Anolis sagrei: one gene and its partners. The protein of the gene in region 2 binds, or shares a complex with, the protein of the main gene of each other region. Links are inferred from orthologs where the notes say so. Each region holds a gene or a part of one and is shown on either strand. Other genes may lie near its edges.

Region 1 (10,654 bases), on a different chromosome or scaffold from region 2:
CACAATGTAACTGTTTAGGATTTAAACCAGGGATGGGGGATATTTAATCCTTCTCCCAGATGTTAGACTTCAACTTACATCATTTATTCTGTTTTGTATTGGGCAATGTATGTGTGTTTGTATCTTCAAGTCACTTGTTTACTTACAGTGATGCCATTAATTTCATAGGGTTTTCTTAAAGCAAAGGATTCTCAGAATGATGTCAGTTCCTTCCACTGAAATATAGACTAGAGCACCTGCTATTTGTTGTAAGTCCCCCATCAAAGTACTAACCAGTGGTGACCATGCTTAGCTTCCAAGATCAGATGGGATCTGGTCCCTTTAAAGTACTTAGGCTATTTGGTATGCCTCAATTACAGGAAAAAGAAAATAATTACATATAATTCATTCATTAGACTGTACTATTTCCAAGATATGAGCAGAAAAAAACCACCACAGTAACCAAAATAGGAGAATGTGGATGTTTTTACTGTTTCAGTTTTATGCCATTATATAATTTTGTTGATTTTATTTATTTATTTAGTATAAAAAGCATTGCATAAATTAGTATGATAAAACTGATAAAAATAGAAGCACAAGCTGCTAAATATCTTTTGACCAAAAATAGGCAACAGTGATCACATTGTCTATAGCAGGGGTCCTCAAACTTTTTAAACCGGGGGCCAGTTTACTGTCCCTCAGACCGATGGAGGGCCGGACTATAGTTGTTGTTTTTTTAAAAAAATCAATTAAAAAATTCCTCTGCACATTGCACATATCTTATTTTGCTGTGTGGAAGGGCCCTTAGAGGGGGTTCTTTCTAGCCCTCTTTAGGCAGTAATTCCAGGAGCAGAGAATGGGAAATCTTCCTATTTCTAGTCTGACCAAAAATCTGGCTACCAGTATTTAAAAAACTCTAAAATTATAACTGTAAATAAAGAACAACACTCAAACACAGGGGAACTCCAGACAAGAAACAATCAGGGCCAGCTAATCATCTCTCAACAAAGGATTCTCCCTAAAAACTGTCAGGCTATGAAATGGCAATCAAGGTGGCCAATTGAAACATTCATACCTACCTCCAACAGACAAGAGTTCTTTCTCCCACCCACAATTTTCCTGGTTAAAGGTTTTCCTCTGACATGAAGTCCAGTCGTGTCTGACTCTGTGGTGCTCATCTACATTTCTAAGTCGAAGAGCCGGCGTTGTCCATAGACACCTCCAAGGTCATGTGGCCAGCATGACTGCATGTAGCGCCAGGGCAGCCTCCCTTGGCTGGCTCACGCTGTCTATCAGGCCTGACGGATAGCGTGAGCCTGCCAAGGGAGGAGCAGGCCCGCGCGGCCTACTTGTGAGTAGACCACGCAGAGCAGCCTCCCTTGGCTGGCTCATGTGGCCTACTTGTGAGTAAAGCGCCTCGCGAGGTGCTTTACTCGCGGGTAGACCACGCGGAGCAACCTCCCTTGGCTGGCTCATGTGGCCTACTTGTGAGTAAAGCGCCTCGCAAGGTGCTTTACTTGCGAGTAGACCACGCGGAGCAGCCTCCCTTGGCTGGCTCACACTGTCCATCAGGCCTGATAGATAGCGTGAGCCTGCCAACGGAGGGGCACTGTGTGTGTGTGTGTGTGGGGGGGGGGGCGCTCCTCCTCTGCGGGCCGGATCGGGGCCCTTGGCGGGCCGGAAGTGGCCCGTGGGCCGTAGTTTGGGGACCCCTGGTCTATAGCCTCAAACAAATCTTTTTCTGTACATGAGGCAGGACATTGCAGGCAAGCATACAGATGCGGAGTTGTCTGTTCTGCTCCGTAGCCACACAAGGTGGAGGATTCTTTTAGGTAGTGCCATTTTGTCAGGTTGTTTTGTGATCTGTCCACTCCACTTCTGAGTTTGTTCGGGGACCTCCAAGTTTCCCATTCTTAGTTTGCCCCTAGAGACAGATCCTCGTGGGGGGGGGGGGCATCCAATTGGATTAGCTGCTTAGAACGATACTCTTGCTGTTTCTGGGAAAACGTTAAGATGAGTGGTGGTTCACATGACGCTTTTCCTTGATTAGTCTACTGGGAGGAGGCTGATAACCATGCAGTGGATGGCTTTCAGTGTTCAACCTTATTTCTCTCAGTTAGTAGCAACTTCCTGTGACACATGGGGGGGGGGGGGGAATGCCAGCTAGCTTGTAGAGTTTATCAACAGGTGTAGGTTTAAGACATTATGTGATCACTCTGTATGTTTTGTTCATCACTATGTTCACTTGCTTCACGTGGGCAGAGTTGTGTAAGCCGCATCGAGTCCTTCGGGAGATGCTAGCGGGGTACAAATAGTTTAATAATAATAATAATAAAACAGGGCAGGCATACTTGGCAGCTGAGTAAGACAAGGCCAGGGCAGATGTTCTTATTAATTTTGGGTCTGCACCCCATGTGCTGCCAGTTAAGTTTCTGCAGGATGTTATTGCATGCAGCTACTTTGTGTTTGGTGTTCCTGCAGTGTTTCCTATATGTTAGCGTTCAATCTAAGATGACACAAAGATATTTAGGATGGAAACAATGTTCAACCTCTTGACCTTCCCAGGTAACTTACAATTTCCTGCTGGCTTCATGGTTCTGTAAGTGGAAAGCACACACGTATGTCTTGGAAAGGTTAGGCTACTTTGTTGATTATGTTGTGTTTAATTTATTGATGTTAGGTTCTAATGTCTTCATATGTGGTGTTAATTTGGGTTATTTGCTGGCACTTATTTGTTTTAATGTAATGCAATATAATACTACTAATAATATGGTATTATAATTATATATTTATGTTACATGTAATATTACTAATAATATTACAATATAATGGTATAATACAATATAGTAATATTTAATACTGTTATTGTACTATGCTATTAATACAGTATATTGTGTGTGTATATATATATATCTCTTGTAAGCCATTCTGAGTCCCCTTTGGGGTGAGAAGGGCGGCATATAAATGTTGTAAATACAATAAATAAATTATTGAGGCATTGAATGTTTTCCTTTTTGTATGTTGGTATCTGCCCTGAGTCCCCCAGGGAGATAGGGTGGAATATAAATAAGGGTTTATATTATTATTATTAGTAGTAGTAGTAGTAGTATTACTGGAGCCCCCGGTGGCACAGTGGGTTAAAGTGCTGAGCTGCTGAGTTTGTTGACCGAAAGGTCGCAGGTTCTATTCTGGGGAGTGGCATGAGCTTCCTCTGTCAGCCCTAGCTTCTGCCAACCTAGCAGCTGGAAAACATGCAAATGTGAGCAGATCAATAGGTAGCAGGTTCGAATCTGGGGAGTGGTGTGAGCTCCTGTTGTTAGCCCCAGCTTCTGCCAACCTAGCAGTTCAAAAACATGCAAATGTGAGTTGATCAGTAGGTACTGCTCCAGCAGGAAAGGGACAGTGCTCCATGCAGTTATGCTGGCCACATGACCTTGGAGGTGTCTATGGACAACGCAGGCTCTTCGGCTTAGAAATGGAGATGAGCACCAACCCCCAGAGTCAGACATGACTGGACTTAATGCCAGGGGACAACCTTTACCTTTTAGTAGTATTACTGTGGTGGTTCTTTCCTGTTCATATCTGGGAAATAATACAATCTAATAAGTGAGTACTTATAATTCTTTTCTTTTGTATTACTAAGTGTTGGTTTTAAGAGTGTGTCCATTTATATATGCAAGTTGCCTGTCGACTTATGACAACATTATGAATTTCATAGGCGTTTGTTAGGCAAGGAATACTCAGAAATTCCTCCCCTTTTGTAATGTTTTTCTTTTGTTCTTTTGGAAACAAAATAAAACTTACTTATACAAAAAAAGAAGTAATATTAAATCATTAAATCATTATAATAATTAGGAATTGAGAAAATAAATAATATAATTCAAGAAATTAAAAAAAACAGAAGGTATTTCGACCAGTGTATTGTATGATCAGTGTAGACTCATACAACGCACTTTAACTGCATTATGATAATACTGCAGTATATTTCAAGTCGGCCTCAGCGTTAATTATAATCGACAACGATGAAGAAAAACCTTCCTCTCAGAAACAGGCCTCCCTTCACACCGGCCTGGAAAGGCCTCTGGCTTTGGCGTGGCCGAGGAAGGAGGATTTCTGGGGTCCCGCACCCCAATATGCCTCCTCAGCCAAGCCCCAGCCACGTCCTTCAGACTCACCCGCGTCCCACTCGGACTCGAGGCCTCTCTCTCGCTTCTTTTGTCTCGACACGAACCAAGAAAGGCGGGGATGGAGAAGGAAGGCGGCGGCGAGGCGGCCTCTATTTCACTATTTCCGTTCCTGCTTCAGCACTTTCCACACAGACCTCCCTTTCGCTAGGTAAGAAAAAAAGGTAAAAACCTAACAAGAAAATCCTCTCGAATTCCACTTTAAACAGTACACATATACTTTCCTCCTCTTGAGTTTCAAGACGTCCTCTCTTCCGAAGGTTGCCGTGGCAACGACGTGAAAGTGCTGCTTTGAATTCCAAGCTAAGGGAAAAGTGGAGGAGGGAGGAGGAGAGAGCGTGCTGGATGACGTGATGACGTCATCGATCGGCATTGCGTGAGGAGCGTGATGAATCCATACAACCTGAGCAACTTTGGGATGGTGGCTTAAGTATTTGAGTTGTTGCTGCTGCAACCAATTGCCTTTTAAAACAATGTTCCAAGCTGGGGTTTGACGGCCTTTCTTGAGACAGGCCCCTTCCACACAGCTGGATGAAATCCCACATTTGCTTTGAATTGGGATATAAGGCAGTGTGGACTAAGGGCCCTTCCACATAGCACTGTATCCCAGAATATTATTTATTTATTTATTTATTTATTTCAGATACTTGCACCCCACCCTTCTCACATAAACAGTTAACACACCAATTAAAATTCTGGTCTGGCTCAATTAATTGTCACTTCGAATTTGCTTATGTCTTCTTCATACATGCCACTATTCAATGGCCAAATGCAAGGTCCCACAGCCAAGTCTTGAGTTTCCTTCTAAAGGACAAGAGGGAGATGGCTAATCTGATGTCTTTGGGGAGGGAATTCCACAGACAGGGAGCCACTGTTGAGAAGGCCCTGTCATCTCCACTAATCACGTTTGCAGTGGCAATGGGATCAAGAGCAGGGCCTTTCCAGATGATCTTAAACTTGGTTGTTGCAGGTTTTTTTGGGCTATATGGCCATATAGCCCGAAAAAACCTACAACTATCCAGTGATTCCGGCCATGAAAGCCTTCGATCTTAAACTTCGTGATGATTCGTAGTAGGAGATACGTTCGGACATGTAGTCTAGGCCAGAGCTGTTTAAAGGTTAAAACCAGCACTTTGGATTGAGCTTGGTAGCAGATCGGCAAGCAGTGGAGCTGGCGTAACAGAGGAGTTGGTTGCTCCCTGTATGCCGCTCCGGTGAGCAACCTGGCTGCTGACTGTTGGATTAATTAAAGCTTCCAGGCAGTATTCAAAGGCAGCCCCACATAGAGCGCATTGCAGTAGTCTAATCACATTGCAGTCATTAATATCAAGGCAGAAAATCCCACATCTGAGTTCAAAGCAGATATTATGGGATTTTCTGCCTTGATATTCTGAGATATAGGGCTGTGTGGAAAGACCCTCAGATCACCCAGTTCAAAACATATTGTGGGGTTATTCAGCCTTGATATTCTGGGTTATATGGCTGTGTGGAAGGTCCCTCAGACTCCGCCTTTATTTTTCCTAATGCTACAGGTCTCAGACCTCCTTCAACTTGGCACTTTATCACATTGAGACATCTCCCAGTCACAGGACACTTCAGCCTCTATTCAAACATGGATAGGCACTGAGCTCATCACATGAGTTAAATTATTTCTGGAAGTCATGCATAACCCTCTTTGATTGAAGAGAGGCAGAAGTATCCTGAAAGGAGGGAACTCCAGCAATCGACCTCATCACATTGCAAATTTTTCACCTCCTAGCTCATCACATGTTCCCAAGTTGAAAAGAGGCTGAAATGTGCTTTAAATAACTCAAAACGACAGCAACAAATACTGCAACCTCCTATTACATTTGCGTTATTTGCTCCCAATTTATCCTTGGGCTCTAGTAGCTCTCTGTTGGTTTGCTTAATGCTTTTGTTTCATAACTAAGTCTGGGCCAGAGAGAACCTGAGCAAGATATAGGCCAGTTTTGCCTTGGGCAGCAGGTAACATTGAACAGCCAGTTTGGGAATAGTGAGGCAGGGGAAGAGGAGAGGAGGATCCTACCCCCTGAAATTGCTTTGCTGTCAGCACAAAAGCAGAAGGGACATATTGTACCATGGCAGATGATTATAACATTGTGGGATCGGGAGATATTGGTTAGGTTTACCCAACAATAGCTAGTGACAGCAGAATCATCGGGGTGGGGAGGCAAATCAGTCGTGGAATTACACATGGCAGGTTTGCCTGCCTCATGTGATAAAGTCATAAATGTATTTGGAGCTTTGCATTGACCTTCCCCCATTTTTAAGGCCCTCTGAACATTAGGATCATATGCATCAAGAACATTTCTTTTCATGATCCTTCTGAATGAGAGGATGGACACCCAGTATCCCTGACAGATGCGCATCCAGCCTCTGCTTAAAAACCTCCAGAGAAGAAGACTTCACCATGTTCCGAGGCAGCATGTTACACTGTCCAATAGTTCTTACTATCAGGAAGTTTTCCTAATATAAGATGGAATCATTTTTCCTTGCAATTTTATCCATTGCTCCACCCCCATCTCCTACTCTCCAGAGCAGCAGAAAACAAGCTCATAGCCCCCCTTAATGTGAAGTTCTTTCGAATATTTAAACACGGCTGTCATGTCCCCTCTCATCTTCTTCTCTCCAAGCTAAACATACTCAGCTCCCTAAGTCGTTCCTCTACCCTTCTACATTGTAACTTGTCAAAATCCTTCTTGAATTGTGATGGCCAGAAACGGACACAGGATTCCAGTTGAAGTCTGACCAAAGCAGAATACAGTGGGACTATGGCTTCCATCAATTTCAACGTGATACTCCCAGTGATGCCTAGAAGAGCATTTGATTTTTGAGCTGCCTCATCACACTGTTGACTCATGTTCAGTTTATGTTTTACCAAGACTCCCAGATCCCTTTCACATGTCCTATTTTCAAGCTGGGTGCCACCCATCCTGTATCTGTGCATTTCATTTTTACTGCCTTCATTTAGTACTGTGCATTTCTCCTTGTTGAAATTCATTTTGTCAGTTTTGACCCACCTCTGTAATTTGTTAAGGGCATTTTGGATTCATTGGATGAAAGGAGAATTCAGTATGAAGCTGTCACTTCAGTACTCCTGATTTCAATATTGTAAAGTCTGTAAAGATATGTTTGGTTTTAAAATACTGTTTTTCAGCCAGAGGTATTTGGATGAGAAGTAGAATACTATTTAAAACAGGGGTGTCCATACTTTTTAAGATGAGGTTCCCTCAGCCTGTTGGGGGACCAGAGTATAGTTTGAAAAAAAAAAACACATTCCTTTGCACACTTATTTGTAGCGCAATAAAGAAAAAAGAAAAAGAAAAAAAACCTAGAACATATATGTCTTGCAGCGTCTCTCCTTCTCCTTTCTTTCAAATCATCCCCAAAAATATGTTCACCCCATTCTTCCATACCACCTGTGCTGGTACGGCTGTACAAAGAGCTCCAAACTCCCTTTAGTTCTTTGAACGTTTGCATGTGCTTGTTCTGGCCATGCATTTTGCAGTTGGATGGTTCCTGCTAGGCTGCAGTCATGGGGCTAGCCACCTGTCTATCATCGTTAAGTTTTAGTTCTGCCCTTTTTTCCAGGTTCAGGAGGGAAAGGGAACCATTTTAGTTCGGTCTTACAGTTGGAAGCTCAGCTACAGGACATGAAAGTTTTCTACCTGTAGAGAAGCTTCGTTTCTTACAAAGTCCGGGGGAAAAGAATCTCAAAAGCTCTGGCTGGGGAATTTACATCCTCACAGCTTTAAGAACAGTCTTTAAAGAAAGGCATTTAAGAGAAACAGCTTTACTGCACAACCCTTGTTGGTGTTGAAGAAACAGACCTACAACTTTTGTGGGAAAAATCCTAAGGACTCCAGCTGGAAATTCTTCAGAGCCTTGGCTGGTAGGTTTACTTGGGTACCCAAGAAGTAATTTGGAACCGGGAGTAGGGCCCACACCAGCAAAGCCTAGAAAGCTGATTGTCCAGGGAGGGGTCAAAAAGGGTTTTCCTCATAAAGGAAAGAAAATAATTCTCCAAGCAAGTTGCCTGTCCATTGTAGACAAGTTAAGAAGCATTTGTTTGATTTGTTGAAGATCTAAGATTGTTTGTTGAAGACCTAAGCAATAATAAAGAACTTTGTTAAACTTTTAAACTTCTAAAGACTTTGTATAGGAAAATCTATAGGGCCTCTCATCCAAGGCACCCCGGCTTCCTGCTGGGCACAAAGAGCACGTCCTGTTCAAAAGCCAATTGCTATAGGCCCAGCGCGTGACAGCACACTACCTGTATTTTGTCTTAAAATGTATTAGCACAGAACACTTTGAAGGCTGATTAAGAGAGACAAGACAAATCCTATCATGTTAGGATGTGACATCCCCCTTGGCCTGTTGATGGATTTTATTTTGTCTATTTATTTTAGATGGCCATAGTCAATTTCACTCTTGTGGCATGTCTGAATAAAGAGAAAAATCTAAAACCTACCTTGAGATTTGTACAGCTAAACAAAATATTTACTTTCAGTAAGGAATGTGCATACTCATTTCCTTTGAATGTTCACTATTTCTTCAGGGTTCATATTGTACTGAGTTAGAGAATAGCAAAGTGCTGATTTTTATCCTCTCTTTTTTTTTCTTTAAGTAGATTTTGAAAGTTAACGGCACTTTTTAGGGTGAAATTTATTACTTTGTGAGGTTTTTAAAAAGAGATAATGATAGTTGGCAGTCATCTGATGGATGGGATTGCACCTATGGCAAGTCTTGTGTAACATTTAAAGGGTGTATATGTTTTTGAGTTTTTTTGTTAGTATGTCTGCTGGTTGTGTAATCATGCTGTGTCTTAAGCACTTATTTATCAGAATAAACTATTAGTGAATGTTGGCAAAGCCAAATGTGGCAATAGAAACACTTATAATATTAAAAAGAGTTTTACCTAAGAGATTTCTACAACTCAGGGATTGTATCACCTTTGTTCCAATGATCATTCTAAGAAAAGTACATTATGCTTAAAAGGAACTCCAAGTAATCAAACAGAGATTAAAACAAAAGCTGTTTAAATGAAAACAAAGAATACTAAAGAGAAAATAATAGAAATGGAAAGTCTAGAAAGCCTTTCAGATTACATAGTTATAGTGTTATTATTCCACTGTAACTTCTTGGGCAACATTTTATGAAATCCTGGGATTTGCAATTAAGGTGGATCTGCACTGCCCTATATCTCAGATTATCTGCTTTGAACTGGATTATATGCATCTACACTGCCAGATAATTTGGGATAAGCAGATAATCTAGGTTCAGATCCTAGGATATAGAGCAATGTAGATCCAGCCTTAGATATGGGCATTTATGATTTTCAGCCAGTAATTATTGGTTTTCACTAAACTCAAAGGCAAGATTCCCCCCAGAAACTGGATATCTTGGTGCACACTTTTCCTAATCTATTCATGTTTGGAGATATCTTTTAAAAATACACATTGCACATGGATTAAAGTGTGTGCTTGCATTTTTCATCTATTCAGAAAATCATGCATATTTGTGAAAAATTCAGAGAAAAAGAAGAATTCGAGGCTTGTTGTTTGTTCTGAGTGTCAGTAATAGAAAGATATACTTATGTCTTATAATACATTCTTATAATACACGTTAGATACATTCATAACAAATCTAAATGAATTCTTATTTCATTTCTATCTCTATATGTTACTTTGTGTTCTGAACATCTGGAAAGAAGACTAATAAATGTGACTATGGCACATTTGCTGACATATGAATAAGAGTTCCTCCATTCCTGATTCTTTTTTGAGAAGATCCACAGGATGTAAATATTATATTTGTCAGACTTGGATTTATTTTCAGCATGACAGTGGCATCATTTACTTTGGTAAATTCATATTCCTATTTCTTAAAGGCAATTTAAAGTTTAATTTTAAATCCAAGTATTGTAAAAAGTACAAATGATGTCCCAACGAAAACAGAAAAGCTGCACAGAGAAATAAGACAGTTTTACATTTAGAATGCCAAGTAAATAAGTAGTAAGAATGCTAGATCAGAGTTTATTAAGATTAAATGTTAACAGCTAGCACATTATTTTCAATTAAAGAATGGCTCATTTTTCTATGTTGTTAAAAGCTGGAAGTTAACTAAATGCCGCAATATACTTGCTGTATCATGTCTTACACATGCCATATGAAAGGCAACTGTAGACACTCTAGTAAAATGTATTACATGCTACTGAGGACCTAAATAAAGAATACATGAATCCTGGTTTGTCAAGACATACTGACAACAAGTAGTTCCATCTGAATTCTAAAAATCAGTAATCCAGTCTTCTAATTACATTGTAAGGTCATACAGTACTTGTTTTGTTCTTTAAAAACTTAATGCTAATGTTAAGTTTACAGAGGAATTTAGATTTAGCAGTTTGAAAGAAAAATGTATAGTCATATATAAAATTGTATTTATTTCAGGTTGATGAGACACTATACTAT
Region 2 (10,755 bases):
TATTCTTATCTTCTTTATTTTGATAAAAAACTGTGTGTGAGAGCCCAGCAATTCCCTTTCCTAACTGAGAATGGGTAAAGGATCCTGGATGGGATTAATACTTGGTTTTACATTATTGAACATCTTATTTAATTCAGTAGGGGTTTTATATGCTGTTTTGATGAACGTTGTTTTATGTAAATTGTCATTGTTATTGGTTTTATTTTATCTTGTGTATTTTACTGCACTATCACATGCTTCTGTAAGCTGCCCCGAGTCCCTTGTAATTATTAATATCATCATTATTATTATTTGATGCATAACAAGATTAGTACACAGCAATTGTATTCACTATGCTGGCTTTTGCATTCGATCACACATTGGACACTTCCCGAGCATCTAGGACTATGAGATGTATCGGTAAATAATGCGTGCAGATCCCAGTAGGGTAGCCTTTTGCAGCGGACAGATGGTAATTTTGTCAGAGCCAATTGTTTTTAAGTGCAGGCCAAGGTCTTTAGGCACTGCACCCAGTGTGCCAATTACCACTGGGACCATCTTGACTAGCTTGTGCCAAAGTCGTCATCGTCGTCGTCATCATCATCATCATCATCATTCTGACACAAAAACACAGTATGACACAGTAAACAAGATATATATGCTGGATTTCGTATCACAAAATCACAAGTCAAACACTTTCCAAGCGTTTACGACTATGTGATATATTTTCAAAAAATTCAAAAGTACAGGTGGACCACTAGGACCATCCGTACTGGTTTATGCCAGAGCCTTTGCAGTTCGAGGGCCTGATAACACCTAAGTTTTTCCTGTTGTTTTTCGTCAATTTGGCTGTCACCTGGTATGGCAACATCAATAATCCAATTTTTCTTTTCCAGAATCATTTATTATTATTATTATTATTATTATTATTATTATTATTGGATGATGTTTTAATTAAGAGATACTTATGATTTAGTTTTAATTGATTTTGCTAAGATATTATATTACATGTTAATGTTTTTAAATGTTTTATGCTGTTGTGGGCATTAAATTTTTGCCTTTGTTAACCACCCTGAGTTGCCTGAGAGGGGCGACTATATATCATCATCATCATCTTTAATTACTTATTAATCGTCCTCCATCCGAGATGCTCTAGGCGATTTACATAGCAGAAATTATACAGGATAAAACACATTACATACAAATATTAATAAATTAACATGAGTCAAATGCTCTAGTAAAAAGCCAGGTCTTAAGTGCTAGAATAAAAGGCCCTAAGTCACGCATTTACTATATAAATATAGTAAATAAATAAATAAACGATTATTATTATTATTATTATTATTATTATTATTATTATTATTCCTCTTTTTTTTGCATTAACAAATGATATGTTTTTCCCTCCCCAGAATGACGATAATTTCCTAAACATCATCTACGACGCTTACGTTGCCAAGTCAAGAAGAGAAGACTCGAAAAAGACTCTGTGAAGCATATATATATATATATATATATTTTAATCCAAAGTCTATCCTCCTCTTGAATTTTTAAAACAATGAAAGACATTGGCATCTTGCAAACCTTTAAATGACGCTTATTGACAAGCAGGTGACGATTTTAATGGACGGAAACTGATAGTGCCTTTTTGGAGCTGGGACTTGGCCACAAATTTGAAATACCTTGTGCTGTTTTTTTTCTTACTTGGACTCTATGTCAGATGGCATACATTTTGATATTTTGTCATTACTGTGCCGATCCTTTGGGTGGGTTTCCTTTCAAATACATGTTCTGTGGGTACTTTGCCAGGATTTTTTCCTCCCTTGTACATAGTTATTCTCTTGTATAATGCAGTAATATCTGCAAAGAGTGGTACTTGTTGCTGAGCAACAGAAGGCAGCTTAAGACTTGTTCATAAAAAAGAAAAGAAAGCTTGGGCTGAAAAAAGCAATCACTATTTACAGCTTCATTGTCACAAAAAAGCCACATTCCTCCCAAAGAGTTTACCCACTTGTTGACATTCTTTTTCATAGCTTATTGAAACTATTTCGAAAGCTACAAACAAGGTTGATTGAAGATGACAACAGGGTAGAACAGGCATGGGCAAACTTCGGCCCTCCGGGTGTTTTGGACTTCAACTCCCACAATTCCTAACAGCCTATCGGCTGTTAGGAATTGTGGGAGTTGAAGTCCAAAACACCCGGAGGGCTGAAGTTTGCCGAATATTGAGCACACTAAATCCCCATTAAAACCAAGTACTCTTCAAAATGTGTATTGCAACTCATTCCCAAATAACCTTTGATGAAAAAAAACATTTTTTCTTTTTTTTAAATTAAAAAAATATCCCTCCTTTTCTAAGCAAATATTTTTCTATTAAGCGACCAGACTATTCATAGCAAAGCAACAGATGGTGAAATTCTAGCTTTTCGAAGACAGGCTTCTGTTTCCAGCTGTTTGGCCTCTTAGATGCCGATCTAAGCCAGCGCAGGGCTGCAATACTTCTCTAGGAAATAGCTCCATCATTTTAAGACGTTTTGTTAAAAATAGCAAAAAGGACGAATATTTTAATTTTCACAGTCTTCCATGACCCGCTGGACAATGGTTTCAATTACTCATTTTTAAGAAAAATAAAATAAAAATAGGAATACACAGATTCCTGTTTGGATGCATGTTATTACATCAGCTCTCGGCTTACCGCAGGCATGGGAAAACTTTGGCCCTCCAAATTGGACTTCAACTCCCACAAATCCTAACCTGGGATCAGATCCTGGGATATACTTAGGCGATCCCTCGTTGGCAGAGTAGGATAATCTTCCAGGATCAGTATTCTGGTGGGTCCGTAGGTGACTGTGGAGCCCTATTCTTGATCTGCATCTTCTCCCGCAGTGAGGGCATTGGTTTCCAGGTGGAAGGCGGTCTCTGTCGGGATTGACTTGACGCGCCTTCCTCTTGGCATGTTTCTCTCTTTCACCCTCCATTCGTGCCTCTTCAAATTCTGCAGCACTGCTGGTCACAGCTGACCTCCAGCTGGAGCACTCAAGGGCCAGGACTTCCCAGTTTTCAGTGTCTATGCCAGAGTTTTTAAGCTTGGCCAGATAGGCCCTATATCCTGGGATATAGGGCCTATCTGGAAGAGCCCTTAGATAGTGTTGTGTATGCCTGCTTGCAGCATGGAATTCGACTTCCTACTCTAAATTTCTTTCAGGCTGGCTGGGTTTATTTATTTATTTCATGTAAAAGCACTGCATAAATACCATGGTAAATAATGTACCATGCAGCTGTGGACAAGTCTACAGAGGGACCACCAAACGCAGCTTTGCCCAAACACGAATCAAGGAACATGAAAGGCGCTGCAGACTAATTCAACCAGAAAAGCCAGCCATAGGAGAGCACCCGATGAACCAACCTGGACACAGCCTATTATTTGAAAGCACAGAAATGTTGGACCACTCTCACAACCACCATGTCAGACAACACAGAGAATCCACTGAAATCCATAAGCATGTGGACAATTTCAACAGAAAGGAGGAAACCATGAAAATGAACAAAATCTAGCTACTAGTATTTTTAAAAATTCTAAAATCAGGACACTAAATAAAGAGCAACACTCAAAAATCAGGGGAATTCGAGAGAAGATACAATCATGGCCAGGTTACACCTCCCAACAAAGGACTCCCCAGGCAGCAATCACTCAGGCTTTGAAGCTGCAAGGCCATTAAATGCTAATCAAGGTGGCCAATTGCAACATTCACACTTTCCCCAAACAGACGAGAGTTCTTTTTCCCACCCTGGACATTCCAAAGATATATAAAACTCACCTGCCTAGTTTCCAGAAGACCCCTCAACATGTGAGGATGCCTGCCATAGATGTGTGTGAAATGTCAGGAGAGAATGCTTCTGGAACTTTGCCAGACAGCCTGGCAAACTCAGGGTAGCTTACAAGGATGTTATTGCGGGCAGCTACTTTGTGCTTGGTGTTTGCATAGCATTTCCTAAATATTAGTGTTCTGTCTAAGGCAGGGATCCTCAAACTAACAACCAGGGGCCGGATGTGGCCCCCCAAGGTCATTTACCCGGCCCTCGCTCAGTGTCAACATAAGTCTGAAATGACTTGAAAGCACAAAACAACAATCCTATCTCATCAGCCAAAAGCAGGCCCACACTTCCCATTCATATGCTAATAAGTTTATATTTGGGTTGTTGTAGGTTTTTTCGGGCTATATGGCCATGTTCTAGAGGCATTTCTCCTGACATTTCGCCTGCATCTATGGCAAGCATCCTCAGAGGTAGTGAGGTCTGTTGGAACTCGGAAAATTGGTTTATATATCTGTGGAATTACCAGGATAGGACAAAGGACTCTTGTCTGCTGGAGCTAAGTGTGAATGTTTCAACTGACCACCTTGATTAGCATTTGATTGCCTGGCAGTGCCTGGAGCAATCTTTTGTTGAGAGGTGATTAGATGTCCTTGTTTGTTTCCTCTCTGTTGTTGTGCTGTTCTAATTTTAGAGTTTTTTTTTTTAATACTGGTAGCCAGATTTTGTTCATTTCAATGGTTTCCTCCTTTCTGTTGAAATTGTCCACCTGCTAATCAAGGTGGTCAGTTGAAACATTCACACCTAGCTCCTGCAGGCAAGAGTCCTTTCTCCCACCCTGGTCATTCCACAGATATATAAACTCTTTTTCCTAGTTCCAACAGACCTCACTACCTCTGAGGATGCTTCCCATAGATGCAGGCGAAACGTCAGGAGAGAATGCCTCTAGAACATGGCCATATAGCCCGAAAAAACCCACAAGAACCTAACAAAATGAAGAACAATTTAAACAAATATAAACGTATTGTCGAAGGCTTTCATGGCCGGAATCACTGGGTTGTTGTAGGTTTTTTCGGGCTATACGGCCATGTTCTAGAGACATTTCTCCTGACGTTTTGCCTGCATCTATAGTAAGAATCCTCAGAGGTAGTGAGGTCTGTTGGAACTAGGAAAAAAGGTTTATATTTCTGTGGAATGACCAGGGTGGGACAAAGAACTCTTGCCTGCTGGAGCTAGGTGTGAATGTTTCAACTGACCACGTTGATTAGCATTTGATGGCCTGGCAGTGCCTGGGGGAATCTTTTGTTGAGAGGTGTTAAGATGTGCCTGAAAGAAACCCAGCCATCCTGAAAGAAATCTAGAGTAGGAAGTTGAATCCTATGCTGCAAGCAGGCATACACAACACTATCTAAGAGGGCTCTTCCAGATAGGTCCTATATCCCAGGATATAGGGCCTATCTGGCCAACCTTAAAAACTCTGGCATAGACACTGAAAACTGGGAAGCCCTGGCCCTTGAGTGCTCAAGCTGGAGGTCAGCTGTGACCAGCAGTGCTGCAGAATTTGAAGAGGCATGAATGGAGGGTGAAAGAGAGAAACGTGCCAAGAGGAAGGTGCGTCAAGCCAACCCTGACTGAGACGGCCTTTCACCTGGAAACCAATGCCCTTACTACAGGAGAAGATGCAGATCAAGAATAGGGCTCCACAGTCACCTAGGGACTGATCCTGGAAGACTATCCTACTTGGCCAACGAGGGATTGCCTAATGTAGACTTGTCTTCATTTTAATTATTGCATTCTTTTCATGTTTTTTTCCAATTATAATCTGGCCCTCCAACAGTTTGAGGGACTGTGACCTGGCCCTCTGTTTCAAAAGTTTGAAGATCCCTGGTCTAAGGCCTGCTGGGTGAAAACTTAAGTCTACAGGTGTAATCAATGCCTTGCGCATGCGCATATGGGTGTGCAGTAGAAGAAGGAGGCGCTCTGGGATGCGGCTGCAATACCACTGCTAGGGCGCAGGTGGCGCTGTCATGCAACGGCGTTCTGAGAGCCGGAAGCGGAAGTAGGGTCGCGTGAGGGAGAAAGGAGGAGGAAGAAGAGGCCGATGGTGGACCTTTCTCGCCGCGGCCGTCGGCGGTGATGGCGGCCGTTCTGTCCCCGCGGGTATGTGACAGCGACCCGGCCACGCCTGGAACCCAGTCCCTCAAGGTGAGAGCCGCTTTCCCCTCAAAGCCTCGCCGAGAAGCGCTGAGGGAGGCGTTTGCATCCTGTGAGGCCTGCTACGGCCGCCATCTTGGATCCCCTCCAAGGCAGGGAAAAAGCTTTTTCTCCTCAGGCCATTCTCATTAGATATTTTTAAGAATTAATATAGGAGTTGGCCATAACAAAACAACACCCTACAACAGGGAGAAATGCAAAATACTCCACTTAGGCAGAAAAAACCCAAACAACACTATAACAGGGACAAAGGCAAAACACTTTGGCAGAAAAAAATGAAATGCTAAAATACAGAATGGGGGACAATGAGGCCTGGCTCGAGAGCAGTACGTGTGAAAAAGATCTTGGAGTCCTCGTGGACAACAAGTTAAACATGAGCCAACAATGTGATGTGGCGGCAAAAAAAGCCAATGGGATTTTGGCCTGCATCAATAGGAGCATAGTGTCTAGATCTAGGGAAGTAGTGCTACCCCTCTATTCTGCTTTGGTTAGACCACATCTGGAATATTGTGTCCAATTCTGGGCACCACAATTCAAGAGAGATATTGACAAGCTGGAATGTGTCCAGAGGAGGGCGACTAAAATGATCAAGGGTCTGGAGAACAAGCCCTATGAGGAGCGGCTTAGGGAACTGGGCATGTTTAGCCTGAAGAAGAGAAGGCTGAGAGGAGATATGATAGCCATTTATAAATATGTGAGAGGAAGCCACAGGGAGGAGGGAGCAAGCTTGTTTTCTGCTTCCCTGGAGACTAGGACGCAATGGAACAATGGCTTCAAACTAGCCGTTCAGCAGTGGAACTCTCTGTCCCGGAGTGTGGGGGAGGCTCCTTCTTTGGAAGCTTTTAAGCAGAGGCTGGATGGCCATCTGTCAGGGGTGATTTGAATGCAATATTCCTGCTTCTTGGCAGAATGGGGTTGGACTGGATGGCCCATGAGGTCTCTTCCAACTCTTTGATTCTATGATTCTATGAGCCAACAATGTCATGTGGCGGCAAAAAAAGCCAGTGGGATTTTGGCCTGCATCAGTAGGAGCAAAGTGTCTAGATCTAGGGAAGTCATGCTCTCCATGCTAAAGCTTGAAATCATCATTTGCTGTTGAGCCATGATGTTGTTTTCATGATGTTGTCTGATTATGATGTTTTGTTGATTTTTGGTTGTTGATTGTTAAATGGACGAACCCAGAGGGTGCTCACCAATGCTTCCTCTTCAACTTGGAAAGAAGTGACGAGCAGCGTGCCGCAGGGTTCTGTCCTGGGCCCGGTCCTGTTCAACATCTTTATTAATTACTTAGATGAAGGGTTAGAAGGCAGGATCATCAAGTTTGCAGACGACACCAAATTGGGAGGGATAGCCAATACTCCAGAGGACAGGAGCAGGATTCAAAACGATCTTGACAGATTAGAGAGATGGGCCAAAACTAACAAAATGAAGTTCAACAGTGACAAATGCAAGATACTTCACTTTGGCAGGAAAAACGAAATGCAAAGATACAGAATGGGGGACAATGCCTGGCTCGAGAGCAGTACATGTGAAAAAAATCTTGGGCGTCCTCTTGGACAACAAGTTAAACATGAGCCAACAATGTGATGTGGCGGCAAAAAAAGCCAGTGGGATTTTGGCCTGCATCAATAGGAGCCTAGTGTCTAGATCTAGGGAAGTCATGCTCCCCATGCTCTATTCTGCTTTGGTTAGACCACACCTGGAATATTGTGTCCCATTCTGGGCACCACAATTCAACAGAGATATTGACAAGCTGGAATGTGTCCAGAGGAGGGTGACTAAAATGATCAAGGATTTGGAGAACAATCCCTATGAGGAGCGGCTTAAGGAGCTGGGTGAGCCAACACCCTGAGATATGGATGGAGGATGATGAGCAACAATTTTAGTGTGATGACTGACCATTATAGTTATTGAGTGTAATTGCTGTTTTAATATTTTACTGTAATATGTATTATGATGTTTTATTGATTGTATGTGATATTATGGTTGGAAACCGGTCTGAGTCCCTCAAGAGAGGTAAGAAGGCCGGTATAAAAAACTTTTAAATAAATAAATATTTAATAATAATAATAATAATTTAAAAAACTTTTATTTATACCCCGCTACCATCTCCCCAAGGGACTCATTGCGGCTTACATTTAGCCTGAAGAAGAGAAGGCTGAGAGGAGATATGATAGCCATGCATAAATATGTGAGAGGAAGCCAAAGGGAGGAGGGAGCAAGCTTGTTTTCTGCTTCCCTGGAGACTAGGACGCGGAACAATGGCTTCAAACTACAAGAGAGAAGATTCCATCTGAACACGAGGAAGAACTTCCTGACTGTGAGAGCCATTCAGCAGTGGAACTCTCTACCCCAGAGTGTGGTGGATAGTCCTTCTTTGGAAGCTTTTAAACAGAGGCTGGATGGCCATCTGTCAGGGGTGCTTTGAATGCAATATTCCTGCTTCTTGGCAGAATGGGGTTGGACTGAATGGCCCATGAGGTCTCTTCCAACTCTTTGATTCTATGATTCTAAGTTAAACATGAGCCAACAATGTGATGTGGTGGCAAAAAAAGCCAATGGGATTTTGGTCTACATCAATAGGAGCATAGTGTCTAGATCGAGGGAAGTAATGCTACCCATGCTCTATTCTGCCTTGGTTAGACCACACCTGGAATATTGTGTCCAATTCTGGGCACTACAATTGAAGGGAGATGTTGACAAGCTGGAATATGTCCAGAGGACGGCGACTAAAATGATCAAGGGTCTGGAGAATAAGCCCTATGAGGAGCGGCTTAAGGAGCTGGGTGAGCCAACACCCTGAGATATGGATGGAGGATGATGAGCAACGATTTTAGTGTGACGACTGACCATTATAGTTATTGATTGTAATTGCTGTTTTAATGTTTTACTGTAATATGTATTATGATGTTTTATTGATTGTATGTGATATTATGGTTGGAAACCGGTCTGAGTCCCTCATAAATAAATAAATAAATATGTAATAATAATAATAATAGTAATTTTAAAAAACTTTTATTTATACCCCGCTACCATCTCCCCAAGGGACTCGGTGCGGCTTACATTTAGCCTGAAGAAGAGGAAGGCTGAGAGGAGATATGATAAAATGATCAAGGGTCTGGAGAACAAGCCCTATTTATTTTATTTACAGTATTTCTATTCCGCCCTTCTCACCCCGCAGGGGACTCAGGGCGGATTACAATGTACTATATACATGGCAAACATTCAATGCCATAGGCACACAACATAAATAGACAGACACAGAGGCAATTTAACATTCCAGCACAGACAGACACAGAGGCAATTTAACATTCCAAGGTGTAAGTCACCTTGGATCTCATCTTGGGAGAAAGGTGGATATTAAATAACGTAACTGAACAGCTTATCTATCCGAACGTATCTCTCCTTATGAATCATCTAGGACTTTAAGATAGTCTGCGGAGGCCCTGCTCTTGATCCCGCTTTCCTACAGATACGTTTGGCGGAGACAAGAGACAGGGCCTTCTCAGTGGTGGCCCCTCAGCTATGGAACACCCTCCCCAGGGATAACAGTTCGGCTCCCTCCCTTCTAACATTCTGCAAAATAGTTAAGACCTGGCTCTTCGAGCAAACGTTTTCTGCTGGAGCAAAATTAGATGTAAACGAACATATGGAATTACTGACGATGCAACTGGACAACGATTTTTGTAAGGAGACGCCGAGGATCTAGTTTTTACAGATATATTTGCTTTTTATATTACATTTTAAATGTTGAATTGTTTATAATTGTTTTAATTGCATTTTTGATATTTGTTATGGCATCTAATCGCTGCCGACTGTGAATCGCCTTGATTCGCCTCTGGCTGAGAAAGGCGGTATACAAATGCGATAAATAAATACATTGGTATAGAGTTTGGATAAAAAGTCTTAACAAACCTGGGGATTAGATTAAGATTTGTTGGTTTAGGGTTTTAATGTAACCTTACCTTAAAGCTTAATAGATATGTGATTACTGTATTATGACTTTACAGCATTGTAATATTTGTGCTTTTGGTTCAGGATGATACTGAAGACAATTCAAACGATGGCAGCCAACCATCTAAAAGACGGCGAATGGGCTCAGGGGACAGTTCACGAAGTTGTGAAACTTCAAGCCAAGATCTTAGGTATTACTCAGTTTTGAAAAATATTTTCACCAGAATGTTTTAGTTTAGTATATGTTATTTCCCAACAAATACCTGAATTACATTAATACAAACATAATTGTAAAATTTATAAATCTTTGAGCTTCACTGGATTTATTTAATTATTTACACAGTCCTAGTATTCTTAGACTATTTCTGCATGAACTAGATATCTGAAATTTGATGTATATGTAGTAATACATGTCACTGCAAAAATCTATAAATAGGACTTTGGTGCTTTTCTCCTTGAAAATAGAGAGTTGGAAGTATATTCCAGAGTAGTTAAGGTGTCCTAGCTTAAGCTAGAAAGCTGAAATTTGGCTTAATAAAACAACAGAAAGATCCGGAAAATGGGATGTTGGGGCATCGAATAGTTAAAGTACAGTACACGAGGTTACCTTTCTAAAAATGGACAACATTATTTATTTGACTATTCAGGACATTGGTACATTGTTAATCTGAATATTGTAGATTACCACATGAATATAAAACAATATAAATGCAGAAGACCTTGCATGTTGGATAGCATGCCATGTTGTGGAGTTGTTCCAGGCTTGATCTTTCTGTGTTTAAGCTTTAGCTACTTTCC
Region 3 (9,762 bases), on a different chromosome or scaffold from region 2:
TTTAAGGGGCCTCCTTCCGGGTGTCTTGTTAGATCAAGCAACGTTTTGGACTGTGGCTGTGCCTTGGCAGAATTCCTGTGTTCCATGGCCGGTAATCCCAGAGGCTTCTAGTTTTCAAGTACCTGGTTAGCGAGAGGCTAACAGGTTCCTGGTTCTTGTATTGTGGTTTTTGGAATTTTGCTCAAGTTCAGAGATTGTCCTGACTGCTGTTTCTATTGTGGCTTTTTGACTTTGCATTTACCTTTCTTTTGTAACCAATTTTTCATCAATAAAAAAGGATTGTTTCTCCTACAGTCCAGTGTGGTGGATTTAATTTTATGGTCTCGTTTCCTGATCTGGGGTGCAACAGTAAGTAATATAGGATATGAGTGAATGAGACATGGCTTCGCAACCTGTGGGACCTAGGAATCGTAACAGACAATAAAGTAAACATGAGCTAAATGTGGCGCTGCAGCAAAAAAGGCCAATGTGATTGTCCGCTGAATATTATGGGATAGGATATGAATGGGTTTATTGAGCTTATTATGGGATAGGGACAGGCAATATCTGTCTATGAAATATCTAGGCGTCTCAATAGAAGCAAAACACACCAATGCAATTCTGGGCTGAATACAGAGGGAATCATCACAGGGAATTGATGGGCGATATCTGTTTACGAAAGGGGCCGAGGAGTCCTCACAGATGAGAATCTGAACATGATAGTATTAAAAGTGGGATGCAACAGCAAGATAAGCCAATGTGATTCTGGGCTGCATCCACCCATTTGAGACTAGTGTGTAACACACTGAGGGAAGTCACCGTCCCTCCGACTCCTTCCGTCTCTGGAGGTTTTTAAGCAGAGGCTGGATGGCCATCTGTCGAAAGGGATCGGATTGTTCCTTTCTGTGTGGGGTTGGGCTGGATGGCCTTTAGAGATCCCTCCCAACTCTGGGACTCAATGACTTACATCTGCGTGGGCTGTGGCTCCGCTGGGACTCTGCAAAGAGAGAGAAAGAGAGAGATGAGGAGGATGTGCATTTAATTATTATTTATTTCGGACATTTGTATCCCGTCCTATTTTGACCTCCGCAGAGGGACTCAGGGCGGCTCACAACCGGCACGCCATGGTGCCCACAACCAAAAGCATAAATATACAATTTAAACAAAAACAATATAAAAACATTCAAACAGTCACCAATTTAAGTCATCGTCCTAAAAGCAGTCCGTCAAGTCCACTAAAGCCGTCGCTTTGGCAGCAGGTCAGCCTAGTCTGCAAAGGCCTGATCCCATAGCCAGGATTCCACTTGTTTCCGAAAGCTCAGGAGGGATGGAGCAGATCCACAGCTGAGGGGTCACCACAGAAAAGGCCTGTCCCTTGTCCCCATCCCCAAAACGCGACTGCGATGATTTAAATGTCAGCCTTTCTAATATTATGGACATTCCATGCTTTGTATATAATAACATTATGGGGCAGGGTAAGCCCATCCAATCCCTCCCAGCAGAGGCCCAGACGACTCCATCCTCACCATGGGAGGAGGCCACGATCTTCTTCCGCTCCTCGACGGTGGCCAGGCGCCTCCAGAGGGACGGGTAGCGCTTGTAGAGGGAGCCCCGGAACATGCGCAGGTAGTTCCCCACCTGCATTGGTGGATTGGGGAAGGCGGAGGAGAAAGAAGGGAAGGAGAGGAAGTGGGTGGGAGAAGGAGAAGGGCGGAAAAAGGTCTCTATGCCCTACACCATCTCCCTCTTCCCTTCTAAAAGGGGCATTCAATAATGATAACACCAGTATTAAAAAACTCTAAAATTACAACAGAACAACAACAGAGAAAAAACAAACAAGGACATCTAATTACCTCTTAACAAAAGTTTGCTCTAGGCACTGTCAGGCCATAAAATGCTAATCAAGGTGGTCAGTTGAAACATTCACACCTAGCTCCAGCAGACAAGAGTCCTTTGTCCCTCCCTGGTCATCATTCCACAGAGATATAAACCCTTTTTCCTACTTCCAACAGAACTCACTACCTCTGAGGATGCTTGCCATAGATGCAGGAGTAACGTCAGGAGAGAATGCCTCTAAACCATGGCCATATAGCCCAAAAAAACCTACAACAAACCAATATCAATATTGTTCTATGATAAATGGTAATAATATATGATATAACAGTACTAATATTAATAATATATGATAGAGTTGGAAGAGACAATAATAGTAATAGCTAATAGTCATAGGTAAAGTAGGTAAAGTCGTGTCCAACTCTGGGGGGTGGTGCTCATCTCCATGTCTAAGCTGAAGAGCTGGCATTGCCTGTAGACACCTCCAAGGTCATGTGGCCGGCATGGAGCACCGTTACCTTCCCACCAGAGCAGTTCCTATTGATCGACTCACACCTGCATATTTTCAAACTGCCAGGTTGGCAGAAGCTGGGGCTAACAGCGGGAGATCACCCCGCTCCCCAGATTTGAACCTGTGATTTTTTGGTCAACAAGTTCAGCAGCTCAGTGGATAATAATAATAATAATAATAATAGAACAGTGTTAATATACATGATAGAGTTAGAGAGACAATAATAATAATAGACCAATATTTATAATAATAATAATAATAATAATAATAATAATAATAGAACAATATTAATATAAATACTATGTCCTCTAAAGCACCTTATACTGATTTAGGATTGGGTTGTTGTAGGTTTTTTCGGGCTATATGGCCATGGTCTAGAGGCATTCTCTCCTGACATTTCTGATTTAGGATTGTTTGAATGTTCCCTCCAACGCCCCATCTCCCTATCTTGTTCATGCCCAGCATTATTTTAAATTTTAATTACATTTGGCCCAGCCATAGATTTTAAATGTGTGTTGTGCTATTGTCAATGTTTATGCTATTTGTGTTTGAGATTTATTTTAATTGCTTTGTATTGTTGTTGTTATTGCTTGTATTGATGTATTGTGGGCTCAGCCTTATGTAAGCCGCACTGAGTCCCTTGGGGAGAGGGTAGCGGGGTACAAATAAAGCTTTATTTATTTATTTATTACTGGTCTATTATTATTATTGTCTCTTCCATCTCTATCATGTATTGTTGATATTAATATTGTTCTATCGTGATTAATATTAATAATACCGGGATTGTGGCGCAGCTGGCTGAGTGTCAGCTGCATTAAGATCATTCTGGCCAAAAGGTCATGAGTTCGAAGCCAGCCCGGGTTGGAGTGGGCTTCCAAGCAATTGTGTGTAGCCTGTTGTCGACCTTTGCAGCCCAAAGGACAGTTGCATCTGTCAAGTAGGAAAATTAGGTACCACCTTAAAGTGTGGGGAGGCTAAATTAACTGATTTATGAGGCCATAAAGAAGACTCCAGCAAAGCATTCCAGCGGGGAAGCATGCGGGGAATGCGGAAGTGCTTCATCAGCATCGCAGATGGACGAGGAAAGCAGCCAGAAAAAGTTAAATAGCCTCTGTGTATGTCTGTATATGTTTGTATGTAAAAAATTGGCACTGAATGTTTGCCATATATGTGTACACTGTAATCCGCCCTGAGTACCCTGTGGAGTGAGGAGAAGGGCGGAACATAAAAGCTGTAAGTAAATAAATAAATAAATAAATAAAACATGATAGAACAATATTAATAATCTGAATGCAAGGGAATTCCAGACATGAAACGATCAGCACCAGTGAACACCTCCCAACAAAGGATTCCCCCAGGCAGGAATCAGCCAGGCCTTGAAGCTGCAAGGCTGTGCAATGCTAATCAAGGTGATTAATTACAACATTCACATTTGCCTCCCACAGAAAAAAGCAACCCAATATTATTAATACATGATAGAGTTGGAAGAGACTTAATAATAATAATAATAATAATAGAACAATATTAATATTGTTCCTATTATTATTATTATTATTAAGTCTCTTCCAACTCTATCATGTATTGTTAATATTAATCATGGTAGAAGAATATTAATAATACAGGATAGAGTGGTTAAAAGATACCACATAATAATAATAATAATAATAATAACAACAACAACAACAACAACAAGATGGGGAAGAAGAAGCGACCACAAGGCCCAATCCACCCTTCTCCTTCTCCTGAATGAAAGGAAGGCAGGCCAGGCCTCCTCCCTCCCTTTCCCTTCCTTCCTTCCCTTCTTCCCCTTCTCCCCGGCTTCACCTCGGATCCGATCATGTAGAACTCGCCATCTTCTTCCAGCTGGAACTTGACGGGCTTCTGCCCGAAGGTCTTGCTCAGCGCCATCATCATCCTACGCCTCACAAGAACAGGAGGAGCAGGAGACGGACTGCGCCTGCGCCGAGAAGGGGGCGTGCCTGCCCTGCGTCATCACGGGCGCGCCTCTTCCGGCACTTCCCATTGGCCACTTTATCCCCGCTTCCTTTTCGCGCCTTTAACGGGGCGTGGCTTGTTGCTAGGGGCGACAGTCTAGCGTCGAGCGCGGTGACGCAGCCCTGAAGGACCCCAGAGAAGGAGAGAAGGGCTGTCTTCCCCACTGCCTGACTAAAGCGAGGAACTCTTCGAAACCGTGGTGGGGGCGTGGCTTGTTGCTAGGGGCAACGGTCTAGCATCCCGTATGGGAAAACCTGAAGGACCCCTGAGGAGAGAAGGGCTGTCCTCCCCACTGCCTGACTAAAGTTCTCTCCCTCACTGCCTGACTAAAGCGAGGAACTCTTCGGAACCGTGCTGGGGGCGTGGCTTGTTGCTAGGGGCGACGGTCTAGCGTCGTGCGCGGTGACGCAGCCCTGAAGGACCCCTGAGGAGAGAAGGGCTGTCCTCCCCACTGCCTGACTAAAGTTGTCTCCCTCACTAGGTTCTTGTGGGTTTTTTCGGGCTATAGGGCCATGTTCTAGAGGCATTCTCTCCTGACGTTTCGCCTGCATCTATGGAAAGCATCCTCAGAGGTTGTGAGGTCTGTTGGAAGTAGGAAAAAATGGGTTTATATATCTGTGGAATGACCAAGGTGGGACAAAGGACTCTTGTCTGCTGGAGCTAGGTGAGAATTGGTTGTTTTCGGGCTCTATGGCCATGGTCTAGAGGCATTCTCTCCTGACGTTTCACCTGCATCTATGGCAAGCATCCTTAGAGGTTGTGAGGTCTGTTGGAACTAGGGAAATTGGGTTTATATATCTGTGGAATGATGTCCAGGGTGGGGCAAAGAGCTCTTGTGTGCTGGAGCTAGGTGTGAATGTTTCAAAAAGCCCACCATATGGTTCAGATATGTGGATGACACCTTCACCCTTTGGAGCCATGGAGAAGAAGAACTCAACAGGTTCCTGGACCATCTGAACAGCATCCACCCAAACATATGGTTCAGAGATGTGGATGACACCTTCACTATTTGGGGCCATGGAGGAGAAGAACTCAACAGGTTCCTGGAGCATCTGAACAGCATCCACCCAAACATCCAGTTTACCATAGAAAAAGAAAATGAAGGAAGACTGCCTTCTCTAGATGTCCTCGTCATCCGCAAACCAGATCAACAATTGGGTCACACCGTCTACAGAAAACCCACACACACAGATAGATATCTACATAAAAACTCCAACCATCACCCAAGTCAAAAAAGAAGCCCCATCAAAGCCTTGGCAGACCATGCAAAAGGAATCTGCGAAGCCCACCTCCTCCAAGATGAACTGAACCACCTCAACTGGGCTCTCCAGGCCAAGGGAGACTCCACCTCAGGCATCAGAAGAGCTGCAAGACCAAGAACAAGCCACGAGAGTAAAGAGGAAGATCCACCCAGAGGAAAAGTGTTCCTGCCAGACATCAAGGGAACCACTGACCGAAGAAGGAAGCTGATGAGGAAACACAACATACAAACCATCTCCAGACCCACCAAGAAAATCCAACCAATGCTCCCTTCAGCAAAGGACAAGAGGGACCCTCTCACCTCTCAGGAGTCTACCATTGTATCCCATGCAGCTGTGGACAAGTCTACATAGGGACCACCAAATGCAGCATTGCCCAGACACGAATCCAGGAACATGAAAGGCACTGCAGACTACTTCAACCAGAGAAGTCAGCCATAGCAGAGCACCTGATGAACCAGCCTGGACACAGCATATTATTTGAAAACACAGAAATGCTGGACCACACCAACAGCCACCATGTCAGGCTACACAGAGAAGCCATTGACACCCACAAGACGCATGTGGACAATTTCAACAGAAAGGAGGAAACCATGAAAATGAACACAATCTGGCTACCAGTATTAAAAAAACTCAAAAATTACAACAGCAAAACAACAGAGAGGAAACAAACAAGAACATCTAATCACCTCTCAACAAAAGATTTTCCCAGGCTCAGCCAGGCCTTCAAATGCTAATCAAATTGGTCAGTTGAAACATTCACACCTAGTTCTTGTGGGTTTTTTCGCGCTGTATGGCCATGTTCTAGAGGCATTTCTCCTGACGTTTCGCCTGCATCTATGGCAAGCATCCTCAGAGGTCGTGAGGTCTGTTGGAATTAGGACAATGGGTTTATATATCTGTGGAATGGCTGGGGTGGGGCAAGGAGCTCTTCCCTGCTGCAATTAGGTGTGAATGTTTAGCTAATCACCTTCATTAGCATTTGAAGGCCTGCCTGAACCTGGGAAAGTCTGTTGCTGGGAGGTGTTAATCTGTGCCTGGTTTCTTCCTCTCTGGAAGAAGAGGAAGAAACCAGGCACAGATTCACACCTAGCTCCAGCAGACAAGAGTCCTTTGTCCCACCCTGGTCATTCCACAGATATATAAACCCCTTTTTCCTAGTTCCAACAGACCTCACAACCTCTGAGGATGCTTGCCATAGATGCAGGCGAAACGTCAGGAGAGAATGCTGCTAGAACATGGCCATATAGCCCGAAAAAAACCCCACAAGAACCTAAAGCAAGGAACTCTTCGGAACTGTAGCGGGGGCGTGGCGTGTTGCTAGGGGCGACGGCCTAGCGTCGCGTATGGGAAACCCTGAAGGACCCCAGAGGAGGAGAGGAGGGCTGTCTTCCTCACTGCCTGACTTCCCGCGTTTTAAAGCAAGGAACTCTTCCAAACTGAAGTCAAAAAAGGAGATATTATTTACATTATCAATGGCATTGGGTTTTTTTTAAAAAGTGTTTGAATTAATAAGTAAATCATGACGAGGAATAAAACAGTGTGTGTGTGTGTGTATACACCAGGCCTGGGCCCACTTGGGCCTTCCCTCCAGGTGTTTTGGACTTCAACTCCCACAATTCCTGGCCTCAGGCCCCTCCCACTTCCAGGTGTTTTGGAATCGTATTGTCAAAGGCTAACAGGGCCGGAATCACTGGCCTGCTGTAAGTTTTCAAGTCCGTCTGGCCATGTTCCAGAAGCACTCTCTCCTGACGTTTCGCCTGCATCTATGGCAAGCATCCTCAGAGGTAGAGAGGTACGTTGGAAGTAGGAAAATGGGTTTATAGATCTGTGGAATAACCAGGTGGGGCAAAGGACTCTTGTCTGCTGGAGCTAGGTGTGGATGGGTTATATGGGGGCTATATGGCCATGTTCCAGAAGCATTCTCTCCTGACGTTTCACCTGCACCTATGGCAAGCATCCTCAGAGGTAGAGAGGTATGTTGGAACTAGGAAAAAGGGTTTACATATCTGTGGAATGACCAGGGTGGGACAAAGGACTCTTGTCTGCTGGAGGTAGGTGGGAATGTTTCAACTTTTTTTTGGTCGTGTCAGGAGTGACTTGAGAAACTGCAAGTCGCTTCTGGTGTGAGATAATTGACCGTATGCAAGGACGTTGGGACGTTGCCCAGGGGACACTGCTTGGATGTTTTGATGTTTTTATCATCCTTGTGGGAGGCTTCTCTCATGTCCCCTTTGCATGAGGAGCTGGAGCTGATAGAGGGAGCTCATCCGCCTCTCCCCGGATTCGAACCTGCAACCTGTGCGGTCTTCAGTCCTGCCGGCACAGAAGGGGTTTAACCCACTGCACCACCGGGGGCTCCATAATGTTTCAACTGACCGCCTTGATTAGCATCTGATGGCCTGGCAGTGCCTGGGGCAAACTTTTGTTGAGAGGTGATTAGATGTCCTTGTTTGTTTCCTCTCTGCTGTTTTGCTGTTATAATTTTAGAGTTTTTTTTAGTACTGGTAGCCAGATTGTGTTCATGTTCATGGTTTCCTCCTTTCTGTTGGAATTGTCCACATGCTTCTTGTGGATTTCAGAGGCTTCTCCATGTAGCCTGACATGGTGGTTGTGAGAGTGGTCCAGCACTTCTGTGTTCTCAAATAATATGCTGTGTCCAGGTTGGTTCCGGAGTGTGGTGGAGGCTCCACTGGCCATCTGTCGGGGGTGCTTTGAATGCATTTTTCCTGGTTCTTGGCAGAATAGGATTGGATTGGACTGGATGGCCCAGGAGGTTTCTTCCAACTCTAGGATTCTATGATTCTGTAAATTCTGTAGACGGTGTGACCCAATTGTTGATCTGGTTTGCAGTTGACTAGGACATCTAGGAAAGGCAGTCTTCCTTCATTTTCTTTTTCCATGGTGAATTGGATGTTTGGGTGGATGCTGTTGAGATGGTCCAGGAACCTGTTGAGTTCTTCTTCTCCATGGCTCCAAATGGTGAAGGTGTCATCCACATATCTGAACCATATGTTTGGGTGGATGCTGTTGAGATGGTCCAGGTTACCTGTTGAGTTCTTCTTCTCCATGGCTCCAAAGGGTGAAGGTGTCATCCACATATCTGAACCATATGTTTGGGTGGATGCTGTTCAGATGGTCCAGGAACCTGTTGAGTTCTTCTTCTCCATGGCTCCAAAGGGTGAAGGTGTCATCCACATCTCTGAACCATATGTTTGGGTGGATGCTGTTGAGATGGTCCAGGAACCTGTTGAGTTCTTCTTCTCCATGGCTCCAAAGGGTGAAGGTGTCATCCACATCTCTGAACCATATGTTTGGGTGGATGCTGTTGAGATGGTCCAGGAACCTGTTGAGTTCTTCTTCTCCGTGGCTCCAAAGGGTGAAGGTGTCATCCACATATCTGAACCATATGTTTGGGTGGATGCTGTTGAGATGGTCCAGGAACCTGTTGAGTTCTTCTTCTCCATGGCTCCAAATGGTGAAAGTGTCATCCACATATCTGAACCATATGTTTGGGTGGATGCTGTTGAGATGGTCCAGGAACCTGTTGAGTTCTTCTTCTCCATGGCTCCAAAGGGTGAAGGTGTCATCCACATATCTGAACCATATGTTTGGGTGGATGCTGTTGAGATGGTCCAGGTTACCTGTTGAGTTCTTCTTCTCCATGGCTCCAAAGGGTGAAGGTGTCATCCACATATCTGAACCATATGTTTGGGTGGATGCTGTTCAGATGGTCCAGGAACCTGTTGAGTTCTTCTTCTCCATGGCTCCAAAGGGTGAAGGTGTCATCCACATATCTGAACCATATGTTTGGGTGGATGCTGTTCAGATGGTCCAGGAACCTGTTGAGTTCTTCTTCTCCATGGCTCCAAAGGGTGAAGGTGTCATCCACCTATTTGAACCATATATGAACCATATAGGTATTTCCCAGGTAACTACAAGAGAGGAGATTCCATCTGAACATGAGGAAGAACTTCCTGACTGTGAGAGCCGTTCAGCAGTGGAACTCTCTGCCCCGGAGTGTGGTGGAGGCTCCTTCTTTGGAAGCTTTGAAACAGAGGCTGGATGGCCATCTGTCAGGGGTGATTTGAATGCAATATTCCTGCTTCTTGGCAGAATGGGGTTGGACTGGAGGATGCCCCAGGAGGTCTCTTCCTACTCTAGGATTCTATGATTCTATGATTT

What was found. The genes of interacting proteins can lie anywhere in the genome.
Region 1: PHF10 (region 2) and SMARCE1 share a complex: the UniProt entries of both Homo sapiens proteins name them as parts of the neural progenitors-specific chromatin remodeling complex. The link is inferred for Anolis sagrei from reciprocal best matches to the Homo sapiens genes PHF10 and SMARCE1.
Region 3: PHF10 (region 2) and SMARCB1 share a complex: the UniProt entries of both Homo sapiens proteins name them as parts of the neural progenitors-specific chromatin remodeling complex. The link is inferred for Anolis sagrei from reciprocal best matches to the Homo sapiens genes PHF10 and SMARCB1.

What each region holds. Positions count from the first base shown.
Region 1 is NC_090026.1:39,301,881-39,312,534, reverse strand, and holds the start of SMARCE1 (SWI/SNF-related matrix-associated actin-dependent regulator of chromatin subfamily E member 1), read right to left. Parts: upstream 4,280-10,654; 5' UTR 4,155-4,279; intron 1-4,154. UniProt on the Homo sapiens protein: Involved in transcriptional activation and repression of select genes by chromatin remodeling (alteration of DNA-nucleosome topology).
Region 2 is NC_090025.1:190,182,064-190,192,818, forward strand, and holds the start of PHF10 (PHD finger protein 10), read left to right. Parts: upstream 1-5,841; 5' UTR 5,842-5,925; coding exon 5,926-5,994; intron 5,995-10,041; coding exon 10,042-10,148; intron 10,149-10,740; coding exon 10,741-10,755. Other genes in the region: DCP1B (mRNA-decapping enzyme 1B), read left to right, coding at 1,389-1,469. UniProt on the Homo sapiens protein: Involved in transcription activity regulation by chromatin remodeling. Belongs to the neural progenitors-specific chromatin remodeling complex (npBAF complex) and is required for the proliferation of neural progenitors.
Region 3 is NC_090026.1:662,701-672,462, reverse strand, and holds the start of SMARCB1 (SWI/SNF-related matrix-associated actin-dependent regulator of chromatin subfamily B member 1), read right to left. Parts: upstream 4,280-9,762; 5' UTR 4,238-4,279; coding exon 4,148-4,237; intron 1,618-4,147; coding exon 1,506-1,617; intron 977-1,505; coding exon 947-976; intron 1-946.